2 linked regions of the Mus musculus genome follow. The protein of the gene in region 1 interacts with the protein of each later gene in a biochemical or structural test. Links are inferred from orthologs where the notes say so. Each region holds a gene or a part of one and is shown on either strand. Other genes may lie near its edges.

Region 1 (7,559 bases):
GAAGGGAAGGAGAGAGAAATCAAGAAACTAATAGAAGGAATTGGGTGAGATATGTAGGCTTAACCTTAACCTTGTATGGCAGTGGTTGCCATATTCTAAATATATATTGGACATAGAGCAATCAGGAATTACTGACAAAACTGATATGTATACAAGTAAAATCAGGGACAACTGGATTTTCTGGTCTGAACAACTGGAGAGATGTAGTGATTTACTTAGATACAGAAAAATAAGGGAAAGAGGTTTACAGGAGAGTACCTATTAAGTATAGGACATGTGACATTTAAGATGCCTATTAATCACTTGAGGAGAGGGCAATAGCCACCTACATACATATATCTGGGAAAAGCAGATATTTCTCATTGTAATGAGCTTGACTGTATTCAAAATCCTGAATGAAGGATAGTATTAGGAGATTAGGTAGAAAAGCACTTAGAAATAAAAGCATGAATTCTTGCACACTTCAAAATTCAGACTGATGAGACAGATAATGGGAGACACTCTCATTCATCTTTTTAATATGTTTCCATTTTTATCATCATCTGCTGGAGGGTAGGACTTCTGCAACTAAAGAGCATCTTCTACACTGCAGACAAGCAGCAACAGATGGTTTCCCCTCGGTTCATGTTTCACAGCCCCACTCTCAAGCGCTCTGCTTAGAGGATTTAGATACTTTAAGCTTTCTGAAAGTTCTGCCAATCCTTGTAGTTTAGCCGTTCCACTCACCACCAATTAACATATGTTGGCACACTAAGAGTATGTCTAAACTGGAAGAAGGCAGCATCCAATTTTATCCAAACAGCGTGGAACATGCCTTTAATTTCTGCACCTAAGGGCAGAGGAAGATCTCTTTTGTGTTCACTGCTAGCTCTGTCTAGATAACAAGATCCAGGTTAGCTAGGGCAATAGAAATCCTGTATTTAAAGTACCTGATATTAGATCAGTTTGAACAGAATCAGGGTCAGTAGTTATTGGAAACTAGAGTACATGCAACGATTCAATCTGAATCATCAATAATCTCACCAATAATCACATCATTAATCAACTGTAAAAACATTTTCAATATTCCTAATCTCTGAGGACAATGCAGAATGGACTCTTACTATGATTTGTATTATTAAATTCTCATGTAATTTAAAGAAAGATGTAAAGGCCGAGGGAAAAAATGTGGCAAGAGGCTGAGCATGGTGGCACTCAAAACGCAGAGGGGGGAGGATCATGATAACTTTGAGGCTAGCCTGGTCTATGAAAGTAAGACCTGGTCTCAAGCCGATAAAAAAAGAAAGAGAAAAATAAACACAAAGGGCAAAATTTTGAGATTAGGGCTGTGAATTCAACGACTTAGAAAAGTAATTCACATTCTCCCCTGACTTGTTACACACCCTCAAGCAGACGCTCACACTGCAATCAGAGGAGAAGGCCTTTATGACCGTCTACCATCAGATGCCTTCCTTTCATTAGTATGAAGTCATTTGAACTTTTCAAACAATACTAGACATAATAATAACAATCACCAGCTGACCCTGCATATCCCTTTGGCTCATATACTCCAGCCCCAGGTTTTCAGTGCTAACTTCTGTTATTGTTTTTGTGACAGCGTCTTATGTAGCACTGGCTGGCAGAGAATTCACATTGATCTGCCTACCTCTGTTTCCTGAATGCTGGGATTAGTGTGCACCACCATGCCTGGCTTTCAGTACTAACTTTTAATGGCAACTGATTCTTCTAATCTCAATTGATATGAGTTTAGTACTTCCAGATTCTCCACTCCTCCCACCCCCAATTAACCCACACAGAGCTATCTAACACCATCTTGGAAGACTCATGAAACTAAACATAGTTTTATATAAACTAAATAAAACACTGTATCAGACTCTCTACCTTGAATTCTAAGATTCTAAAAATGAACAATAAGTAACTGGCCTTCTTTCCATACTACTCCTCCTAAAGTGGCTTCAAACTTTTCTCTAAGTTCCTCCCCCCAAAACAGTTAACACTACAGTTTACTTAGCAAAATGGTACTGAAGGCTTAAGAAGAGAAACTTAATACCCAGCACTAAGTACCCAAACCGTTTGTAGTCTAGTAGTCATGCTTCTTTTAGGCAGGGCTTGGTATATTGACTTTTAGTCTTCATCACCATCTAGGCTCTCTCCAGGAAGTCTAGGGCCTTCCATAACTGGCTTTACAATTAACACTGGAATACTCTGCAGATCTACCCACAAAGGAAACGATTTCTTGTATTATGAAAGTCTAGAAGTTGAGAAATTTATGGAGCTTGAATGATACTTTGGACCTACTTTGTAAAACCCAAAGCCCAAGGTATTTTTCCCAGTACAGAACTCATGTCCTTTGTCTGCTCAGCTTTGCTAGTTCACTGTTTATCTGACTTCTTCTCCGAGACAGAGTCTCGTGTACCTGACGCTGGTCTTGAACTCCTTGATCCTCCTGCCTCTACCTCCCAAGTGCTAGGATTATAGGTATGTGTCCAGCTTAGTTGTCATTTTCTGATTTTTTTAAAAGTCAGGCAACATGAGCCTTTTTTACTTGAGCAATAATCCTACAGCAACATTATACTCTTCACCTCAATCCTAAACTCTGAAGCTCACAGTTGTCGGGAATGTTAAAGTAGATAATGCTTTTAAACAGCACCATATAGATATATACTGTGATTGCACCCAAATAATGGTTGATTAGAACTTCCAGCTAATAAGAAGCACTCAACAAATACAATCTTGAACAAAGGATTCCTCTCTCTACTTAAAATGTATTTGCCTAAGAGAAGTTCTTAGCACAAAATAAGAAATGACTTCTGTCCCTAAGCTTATAAAGATGTATACAAATAATTACAGTAAAAATCAAAGCTTAGTTATTTGACAAGAAATTAGAGAAGTTAAAGGACAGGCTGAAATCTTGACAACGGTACAAAGCAGTGGTCCAAAGTTCTGTCAGGGAACACCTAGTGTAGTTCCTAAGACTACTTTCAAGGTTGTTTATAAGGGTAAAGCATTTTTTCATAATAGTACTAAGACCCTATTTTCTATTTATTCTTAAAAGAGAAGTTTCTAGAGTTCTGATACTTATGACACTGTAATAGAATGAATCAAATATAGAAAAGAATATAGCTCTGCAATTAAATTAAGGCACCATAAAGATGTACAAGGCATTCAGCAGTCTGAGGTAAGAAAACTGCTACAAGATCCAGATCAGACTGGTTGATGATAGTGTTCAGGCCACCTCAGGCTATATACAGTGAGATCCTGTCTCAAAAACCAAGAAGAAAAAGACTTCAATATATGATGCCAGTTTGAAATCCCAGCATTAGGGAGACTGAAACAGGAGGACAGAGAAATCTGTGGACAGGTTAAACTACATAGCAAGATCTTGTTTAAAAACAAAAACAAACAAACAAACAAAAACCAAAAACAAAAAACCAAACCAAAGCAACCAACCAACCAGCCAACCAAACAAAAACTTCAAAGCAACAGATTTAAAAAATGTTAACCAATGCTCTATTTGTTTTTTGGACAAACTTTTTCTGAAGAAAAAAAAAAAAAACCTGACATCATTTCTGCTACCACGCAAGAATTACTTTTAAGATAAATATTTTAAGAGTTAATAGTTTGACTTTCAAGTAGAATATCCGTGCACACCTGCAAAATATATAGAAGGCACACAAAGGTTATTTGTGGTCTTCCATAATTCTCAGGAGGGGAGAAGTCTTGAGATCCCAGATTTTAAGAAACACTGACTGTGGCCCCAAGTCACGTCAGTGGTCTCTTTTCTCAGCCGGGAAAGTCGTTTAATTTCTTAAGAGTCTAATGTTCATAGTGAAGACTGGTAAACTCGTGGGACTGTAGACGACGATGAGTTTAGATCCAGTCTCTTCCTCCAGGAACCCTTGCACGCTTCACCTCTTTACCTACCGGAGTCATTCCAGACCACCCTTTGGGTACCGAGGGCTGGGTCCACATCTCTGTTTTTTGCTTTAAACCCCACTGGATTACAACCCTGCAGATAAGCGTCCCTACACTTAACACAAACCTGTGAACTTGCAGAGATCGCTTTCCAGCTTCAGGGGCGGAGGAGGGTCGGGAAGATATGAAGGGGCCACTGGGCCATTAGGGCCAGTCCCTTCCCGACTCCGGAGCCCAAGTCGGTCTCACGCGACTCCGTACCACGGAGCACACCCCTCCGCCCGCCTGACGGTCCCGCTCACCTGAGCCGGAGGCGTCCCCGACTGCCCGCCAGCTCGGCCAGCTGCCGCCAGCCCCGGCCCTCCGGAGCGCGGTCCAAGCTCTCGCTGAGCCTCCGCAGCAGCGGCTCGGGCAGGCGGTTGAGGGTTGCGCCGGCTGGAGGGGAGGTCGAAGGTCCCGAGGACGCGGTAGGGGGCTGCCGCACGGCCAGGGGAGGTGAGGCCTGCAGCGGCTGCCCCCACAGCGACATGGCTACGCCGGTGGCCTCGACTGCCCAGCTCCCGCCGGTCACCTCAGGCCTCGGCGTTCGCGCACCTTCCGCTTGCCTCTCGCCGTCCCGGGAGCCGCAGGAGCGGAAGGAGAAGTGGCTGCACGGCGAGGCCCTCACAGGAAGAAGCACTGCTCCCGGGCTGCGAAACAGGTTCCCCCTGTGAAGCCGCGCGGGGCGCCAGCGGAGAAGAGGGGCGGGCTCCGGGGGCGGGTCCTGCCTGCTAGTGTATGGGCGGGGCTTGGGTGGCGCTTCCCCACTGGCAAGGAGCGAAGAGTTCGGGGGCGGGGCATAGGGCGGGGCAAGCTCATCAGAACAAACAGTTTCACCTGTAGCGACCCGGGCCGGGAGGCAAGGGCGGGGCTTGACTTCGGGCTGTGGACCGCTGCCTCGGTCACTGGGGAAATGCTAGCCTTGGGGGCGGGGCATAGTATGGGCGGGGCGTGAGGCCGCACGTCCCCTGCCGCTTCAGAGTCAGTGGAGCAGGAAGAGATGGGATGGGTGGGTGTGTTGGAGGAAGCGGCGGAGGAACTGGCACAGTTAGGAAGCCTGCGGCGTAGGAGCTTCCCGGGACCGTGGGAGGATGCTTACCTCACACCGGAGAGGGTAGCACGCGCTTCCCGGAGGCGCCCCTACGCGCGTCCGCTCTCAGCAGACCTTTGGGCTTGCGAGTGTGCGGAGTCCCCCAAGAGGCCACCAGCTCAGCCCATTGGGCAACCTCAGACGCTTCCTCTGCAAGTGGAGGGGTTTGCCAGAGGGAAGTAATGGAGCCAGAGATTCAGATACTCATAAGGGAATTGACCGAAATCTTTTCGAGACTTTTAAAAAGATTCGATTTTCTTATCGGAGGATTCAACGGTGCAGTTCGGTGGTGGGCCTCTGTTCTAGCATGCCTAAAGCTCTGGGTCCATCCTCGGCTCCACAATAGCTGAGCAGCAAAACCCAAATACTTCTAGTGTATTTTAACTAATTAGATCCTGGGGATATTTTATCTTAGCAGTAATGGTGTGGTGTCCTCAGATCAGACTGTCACACACAATGTTCATATTCTAAGCAGTTCCCCTGGATTATATAGACCAACAGTTCTCAACCTGTAGGTCATGACTCCTGGAGAGGGGGTGGGGGTGGGAGGAGTAGTCAAATGACCCTTTCACAGTCGTCGACTAAGAAGACCATTGTAAACCACAGATTTTACATTCCAGTTCATAACAGTAGCAAAATTACAGTTATGAAGTAGCAACAGAAATTTACGGTTGGGGGTCACTACAGCATGAGAAACTGTATTAAAGCATTAGGAAGGTTGAGAACCACTGATCTAGACTAAGCTTGACAGGACCCACTCTTAAACTCTCACCTCACCTCATCCATAGCAAAGGCTGTTAACCCTTTGGAAACTATAGGCTTGTTTGGCACAGGAACAAACAACTTGTAGCCAGTCAGGTAGTTCTGCGATACAAGCCTTTCCTGCCCAGTTTATCTTGCCTTTAGTTTTTTCATCAGACAGCAGGGGTTTCTGCAGCAGTCCTTTGAATGACCAGATTCTCACCATGTTCTAGTACATCCAATCACTGAGGGTTTTTTTTTTTTTTAAGTCCAGTTTAAGTTCAGAGTTCATGGGTGTAATGACTAAGTATGAGTGTGGGTTCAGAAAGATCTGCTAGGTTTGGTTTTATGACTTTACTAAGTTGATTTCTGTCCCTCCCCAGTTAAAATGGAACTGGATTATATTATATAGAATTATTGCCAGGATGAAAATATTTGTTACTGTTAAAACACTCAATTCAATGACTGGCACATACCAGATACTGACCATTTTATCCTTCACAGTACAGAGGCCCATTTCACATTTAACCTGAATTGGAAAACTTTCCCCATTTTTTTTTTAGTGTTTATGTTTTTCTTAATCATTGGACAATTTCCTATTATCTATGTGTGCATTATGGACATTAAAAACCTTCTAGATTGTGTGTGTGTGTGTGTGTATTTGGGGGATAGAGTCTCATGTAGTCCAGGCTGCCCTTAAACTTCTTCCCCGCTTCACCTCCTGAGAGCTGGGATTATAAGCATTCACCACCATGCTTAGTTCTATGAAGACCTGGGAATGGAGCCCAAGGCCTCTCATGTGCTAGACAAGCACTCTTTCAGCTGTGTTGCATCCCCAGCCCTAAGTTTTCTAATCTATTGGCACTCTACATTTTAATTTAAATCCGATAGCCTAATTTCCCCTTCCAGACCGACTTATCCACTGGTGCTAGCTGTGGCGTAGGCGGCAGCGGCTTCTATGTGAAAGGGTCCTGAACGCTGGCTCACACCATTTACCCTGTGGCTGTCCTTCCTGGGTTCAGCCCATCTTTACTCAGCATAGCTCAGCTAAGTACCATGTCCACTCCCTTCCCATTCCCCTGCTTTGTGCCTCTCACATCTCCCACCTCCTAATCTACTCAGTCACCTTCCCCACTACTCTCCACTCAGTACTTTGATAGGCATTGCATTTTTATGGTTGATCTATTTCTCTTCTTAATAAAAATCCTCATATTTCTATCACCTAATTTTCACTTCTGGGACATAAATGTGAGTTCATAGTTTGATGCCGCCACTTATAACTGACATCCAAGTGGACGCGTTATTGAACTTGTCCGAGCTTTAATTTCTATGCCCTTAAGAGGTGGAAGATACTGGTACCTATCAAGATAATGATTGGGAGAAGTAGGCATAGCATTACTTAAGGGTGGGAATGTCTTTTGAGGAATGCAGCATGAGATGACTTTTGTTGTGTGAACCAAGACTCCTGGGCCAACAGGTTTGATTCCTGTTGCTGTGGTGAACACCGCTACCAGAAACAATTTAGAGGAAAGGGTTTATTTCATCTTACCATCATCGAGGGAAGTCAGGGTAGGAACTCAAGCAGGGCAGGAACCCATGCAGAGACCAAATAGGGAATGTGGCTTACTGCTTCGCCTCCATGGCTTGCTCAGATTGCATTTTTGTACAGCTGCGCAGCGACGGCACTGCCCACAGTGAGCTTGTCCCTCCTACACCAATCAAGAATAAGTCCCTCAGACTTGCTTACAGGCATTCCGGTAGCAGTTTTTCCCAA
Region 2 (5,960 bases), on another chromosome or scaffold:
CTCAAGAGCCTAACTGTCCATACCAGGAGCAGGGCCTGCTTACCCTCTCTAGGAGAATGACAGCCATTGGGGGTACTCACTACACCTTCCCAGACTGTAGGATCAGCAGTGCTGCAAGGAGGCACTGGCCCAACCCCAGGTTGCTTCAGGCTCCACCTACTTCTCCCTGCTGAGTCAAGCAGGGATGGTGCCTCACAGGTAGGTATCATACCCACTCTCCTTGCTGGGCTCCCCTTCCACCTGCTGACCCAGTGCTCTCAGAAGACAGCTAATGTGATCCCCAGGGGGCTGCTGCATGTCCCCAGCCTTTGTCTCATGCTCTGCCACAGCCTCACCTCTAGCCCCAGTCTCTCAAGTCCTTTCTGGGACACAAGTACCTTCAGGATACAATTGGTGGTGTTCCCAGGCACCCCTTACCGCCTAGTCCTGAGGCTCTGCCCACTGGTACATCATGGCAAGGAGACTTCCTTCACTGGACCAAGACCTGTGAAAACATGACTGTATCCTAGCCACTCTGGTGCCATTTGCTTTCACGGACATCTGGACATATCCAGTGCCCTTATTGGGGTACTGGTGGATGGGTCTCTATTAACCCTTCGCAAGTCTGTCTGGGCAAACAGCACAAAACAGTTCTGTGTACACAGTAGGACCAGCATTCCATGGCAGTTCTGAGGAGCTCACAACTTAGCAGAATTCTAGGTAGTGTTGGGCACAGTGGTTATTCCCCATCCTTGATTTTGAGAGGTCAATCCAGATTTAAAAACTTTCAGCTAGCCTGGGCTACAAAACAAGACTTGGCATAGTGGCACACACTTGTAATCCTGGCACTTGGGAGGTGGAGGCAGAAGGGTCAGGACATCAAAGTCATCCTCACTGCTTTGAGTTGGGTCTGAGGGGCTGGAGAGATGGCTCCTCTGTTACAGGCTAGGCTCACAACCAGAAATAGAAGCTGGGTCTGAGGCCAGCCTGGGCTATTTAACACCTTGTTTGAAAGAATAAAAAATGGAAAACACCATGGATGCACCATGTACTGTCCCCAACTTTGAGAACAGTGTCCAGCATTGTTGCTGTGTGTGTGTGTGTGTGTGTGTGTGTGTGTTCACAACAGCTCTTTGAAGTTTGTGATATTCTGTACCTCCAGATGAGAAACTCAGTTGTTTTTTTTTTTCCCAGCTGGCCATGGGATCACACACATTTAATCATGGTACTCAGGAGTCAGAGGCCAGCCTGGTGTATGTACCCTAACAAGTATTTAGTAGTTTGAATAGTGCAGGTGCATGGAAGACCTGTGTCAAGAGTCAACTAGACTACCTCCTTAAGTCTTTAAAGCCATCCTGTTAAGAAACTCAAGTCCAGAGTGGTGAAATCAGTTGCCTGGAATTGCATAATTGTCCAGGAAACCTAGTATTTGAACACAGGATATTTGATTCAGGACCTTCCAATTACAACTCTCTTGAGAGAGATTGCTTGTCTTTTCATTCAGGGTCTTGCTATAAGTAGTCCAGACTGGCCTAGAACTCGTGGTGATTTCCTGCCTCAGACTTTCAAGTGTTTTAAGTTACTCGTGTGAGCTGTCATACCTGGCTCTCAGTTTTGCTTTTGAATTCACAGTCGTGTCTCAGATCCAGGCAATCAACACAGGTCCTCCAACATGCTAGGCAGGTGCTCTACCACTAAGCCACACCACCAGCCCAATTTTCCCCCTCTTCTCCCCCTTCTTTTTTGTTTTATTTTGTTGGTTTGCGTTGAGACAAGGGCCTGCTATGCAGTGGAACTCACTACTTGTCAGTGGATCTCCTGCCTCTGTCTGTCCAGAATGGGCATATTGTGGCTACAATATCTTTCTGTGTGCTGCTGAGAACACAGCCTAGAATCTCATACATGCTAGACAAGCATTCTATCACAAGCCACATCCTCAGCACTACAGTTGGAAAACCTCAAGGAAAGCAGTGATTGGTGTGTGTGTGTGTGTGACTGGCAAGCTTATTCTATGGGAGATGTCCACTCCTGGGCTTGCTTATGACACTGGAACATTTCCCTCTGGTACAAAGTGAAAAAGAATATGATTCAGTGTGAAAGTTACATGATATTCCCATTTCTATATTTATCAAATTATGTTCTAATAGAACATAGCCACATCCCTGTTTCTGGTCCTTGGCTGTTTATGTAAGATGGCACATTTGAAAATTAAGACCATTTGGTTCTCAAAGCCTGAGCCTAATGTCTTTCATTGCAAGAAAAGGTTTGCTCTAAGCTGGACGTGATGGTAGGTGCCTGGGATCCCCAGGACTCAGGCTGAAGCAGATGGATTATCATGAATTCAATGTCAACCAGAGCTACATAGCAAAACCAAAACAATGCTCTTTGCTTTGGTGTGCAACAGTAGATACCGGTGCCACATCATTCACTGCTGCAGTTTTCTGCCTCTGGAGCAAGAAGTGGGCCTGGTTTTAGTAATGCTGTACCCTAGTTTTCATTACAGGCTGCAGCATATGGCAAGTGCTTAATTATGCGTAGGTTGCTTGAATCATTGATCACACATGCTATGATAGAAGGGGAATGGAACATACAAGTTTCTATAGGTTTCTATAGGTTATAGGTGCCATATATCACCAACGGGCTGGGACTGTAGCTCAGTATTCATGAAGCCCTGGGTTCAACACTCAGTGCTGCATAGACTAGGTGGTGGTTCATGCCTGTCGTCCCAGCACTGTGGAGGGACGAATCTGAAGGATCCATGGGGGCAAAAGGATCTGCAGTTCAAGGTCATCGGTCTGGGCAAGATGAGACCCTATGTAAATTTTACTTCAAACAAATTATCAATGGCTGCTAACTTCCCACTCCTGGCTTCATTTGCCAGCCTGAAAGATAGCAGGTTCAAGCCCTCGTAGGGGAAATGGAATGCCCATTTCTCAGCTTGTTCTGTGGGTAGGGCGCAAGTGGACCCGGACGGACCTCAGTGGTCTTGGCCAAGGCAATGGGCAGCGACTCGCACCCGGACCCTGCGAAGTGCCAAGCCTTCGCTTCCCGGCCGACCCCGCCCCCGCAGTCACGTGAGCAGCGGGGGTTTTCCCATTCCCTTTGACGTGACGTCACGGAGGGGTACGAGCCAATGGGTGCGCAGGCCGGCGGCGCCGGGGAATTCCGCCGCCCCGCCCCCGCCCGCCGCCCGCTCGGCCCGGCGCCCCCCGCAGCCCCGGGCGCCGTGCGTCCAGCCCGGCCTTCGGCCCTAGCCTTGCACCGCTTGCCCGGCCGGTGATCGTCCCAGCCGACCGGGCTGTCCGACTGCCCGGCTTGCCCTCGTGTGCGCTCGCCCTGAGCTGGCCTTCGGGCTGTCGGTCCCTACGGGCCGGGCCATGCCGAGTCGCCGCGCTGCCAGAGAGTCCGCGCCCGAGCTAGGGGCCTTGGGTAAGCAGAGTGGAACCTCTGGGGCGGGGCTCGGGCTCGGGGAGTTCGGGGCGCTCGGAGTCATCTGCGGGTTTCCGCAGGATTCGCGCTTCGGTGCGGAGAGTACAAGGGTGGCGGGGACACTGCGCGAGGGATAAGGCAGAAGGTAGAGGATGGTGAAGGGTCTTGCCGGGGAGATACAGGCTAGGCGTCCCGCTAAGGAGTGAGAAGGGGGCGGGGCCTGAGCCTGAGGCAAAGAAGGGGGCGGGCCGGGCGGCGGTCGAGAGGAGGGGCGGGGCATAACTCTGAAGGGGAGGAGCCATACACACAGGGGCGGGGCAAACTCAGAGGAGGCTTCTGGTTTACAGAGTGGGTGAGGCTGCTCTTAGGAGTAAGGGGCGGAGCCTAATTCGAGGAAGTGGCTTTATTCTCTCCAAACAAGGGGGACCCTTCTCCCGCAAGGCTTAGGCCTTTAGAGGCAAAGAAAGAGGCGGGGCCCAGCTTCAAGATTTAAGGAGGAGCGGTGCCTGACCTCGAGGAGGAGGATCCAGGACTGTGCTTGACAGGAAATAGGGGCGGGGTCAGGCTCCAAGAGCAAGAAGAGGTGTGTGGCTCAGTGAGTGGGCGGGACTTACCCTTGGGTTGGGGTGGGGGAAAGTGGGGCGTAGTGGCAGGTCTAGGGAAAGGGCAGGGCCTGTTTAGAAAACGAAGGGCGGGGCCTGACGATGGGATTGAAAAGGGGCGGGGCCTGCAGCGAGATGGGGGAGAGGAAAGTTCTCCAGTGACGAAGTATTGGGGCTCGGATTTCGCCCTGAGGGAAGAACGGAGACGGGGGTTTTCCTGAGGCATCAGGAGTCCTCCAAGTCCCACCTTAATGGGGAAAGTAGCGGATATTGAGTGATGATTGGCGGAGTCAAAGGCAGAAACGAAAAGCCAGAACTTTTTTCAAGAGTTAGAGAAGAGCCGGTTGTGGTGGCGCACTTGGGAGGCAGAGGCAGGCGGATTTCTGAGTTCGAGGCCAGCCTGGTCTACAAAGTGAGTTCCAGGACAGCTCAGGGCTATACAGAAAAACACTGTCTCGAAAAACCAAGAAAAAAAAAAAGGAGTTAGAGAAGGCTGGCCTGCACCTGAGCTCGGTAAGGAGGAGGGACTTTATTCAAGGGACCAAGCCAGAGAGAGGAGCAGGCTCATCAGAGTCTCTGGTCCTGCATTGTTTGTTAATCCAGGTCTCCATCTCACAGGTTCCAGTGACCTCTCTTCCCTGTCACTAACGGTCTCCAGGACCACAGGTGAGCAACCCCCACAGCCCCTGCCCACCTGCTTGTAGGAAATGGGATTGGAGGAGCCCCCGTGGAGAGGGAATGAGTGTACCCACTTTGCAAGCTTTGTCTGTTGGTACTCTGTCTGTACTCCACCCCCACATTTCTCTGGCAATAGCCAGGTAGTCCTGGCTCACTATAAAAGGGGCTGATGCATCCCCTCCATCTTGCTCCCTTGCTCCCCTCTCTCCCCATTCCCTTTCCCCTTCTCTCCACGTGGTCATGGCTGGCCTCTACTTCTCTACTTCTCTCTGCCTTTCTCTGCTTCTACTACTCTCTTTTTTGTTTGTTTTGTTTTTCGAGACAGGGTTTCTCTGTGTAGCCCTGGCTGTCCTGGAACTCACTTTGTAGACCAGGCTGGCCTCAAACTCAGAAATCCGCCTGCCTCTGTCTCCCAAGTGCTGGGGTTAAAGGCGAGCGCCACCACGCCCGGCTTCTACTACTCTCTTAACTCCCCTCCCCATGCCCTAAATAAACTCTGTTCTATACTATACCGACCTTCAACCTTCGAGTGGCTGGTCCCTCAGGGAAGGGATGCCTTGGCATGGGCCCACGGAGGCACCCCCTTCCCCCATACCTCACCACACACCTTAAAACATATATTAGTACCCCTTTTTCATTTTATAATCACAGCGTTGTCTCTCCCTGTTTTATTCCTTACGTGCCCATATTGTCAAGACTGTTAGAAGCTTGTATAGTTCTATTTGCTGACCCCCTAAGTAAAGGCTCTTTTAGATGTTCTCCATCATCCATTATTTTGGGCCTTGGAACTGAATTTCAGACATGATGTTACCACCCCCTCACGTGATTTCCCTAAAACTACCTCAGTTTTATTCATCTGTTTCATACCCATTTGTTCCTTTTTGGAGATAGAGAAAGTTAAATGAGTTGATGCTTACAAATTCATAGCCTTCCAGTTCATAGTAGCTGTTAGTGGCATAGTCATGATAATAAGAGTAATAATAGCAGTTAGTTAGACTATCATAGTTCTCAGACCATGTCCATTTAAATTATCTAGACCCTTGGTGAAGCAGGGAGAGGGAGCAGGCAGTGATGGTCTATTCCTTTATACTCAGGCAGATCTCTGTGAGGCCAGCCTGGTCTACATAGTGAGGCAGGCAGATCTCAGTGAGGTCAGCCAGGGCTACATAGTGAGTTCCAGGACAGCCAGGTCTACAGGAAGAGACCCTGCCTCAACAACAACAACTATTGCCAGTAAAAGCAGTACATGCCTATACTGTTCTGTAATGTTCC

The links.
Region 2: of the proteins of Malt1 (region 1) and Relb, one has a biochemical effect on the other in vitro, tested with the Homo sapiens proteins (2 studies listed by BioGRID). The link is inferred for Mus musculus from reciprocal best matches to the Homo sapiens genes MALT1 and RELB.

Annotation. Positions count from the first base shown.
Region 1 is NC_000084.6:65,428,057-65,435,615, reverse strand, and holds the start of Malt1 (mucosa-associated lymphoid tissue lymphoma translocation protein 1 homolog), read right to left. Parts: upstream 4,627-7,559; 5' UTR 4,445-4,626; coding exon 4,218-4,444; intron 1-4,217. UniProt on the Homo sapiens protein: Protease that enhances BCL10-induced activation: acts via formation of CBM complexes that channel adaptive and innate immune signaling downstream of CARD domain-containing proteins (CARD9, CARD11 and CARD14) to activate NF-kappa-B and MAP kinase p38 pathways which stimulate expression of genes encoding pro-inflammatory cytokines and chemokines.
Region 2 is NC_000073.6:19,626,639-19,632,598, reverse strand, and holds the start of Relb (transcription factor RelB), read left to right. Parts: upstream 1-3,160; 5' UTR 3,161-3,356; coding exon 3,357-3,408; intron 3,409-3,804; exon of another isoform or gene 3,805-3,991; intron 3,992-4,117; exon of another isoform or gene 4,118-4,523; intron 4,524-4,628; coding exon 4,629-4,676; intron 4,677-5,960.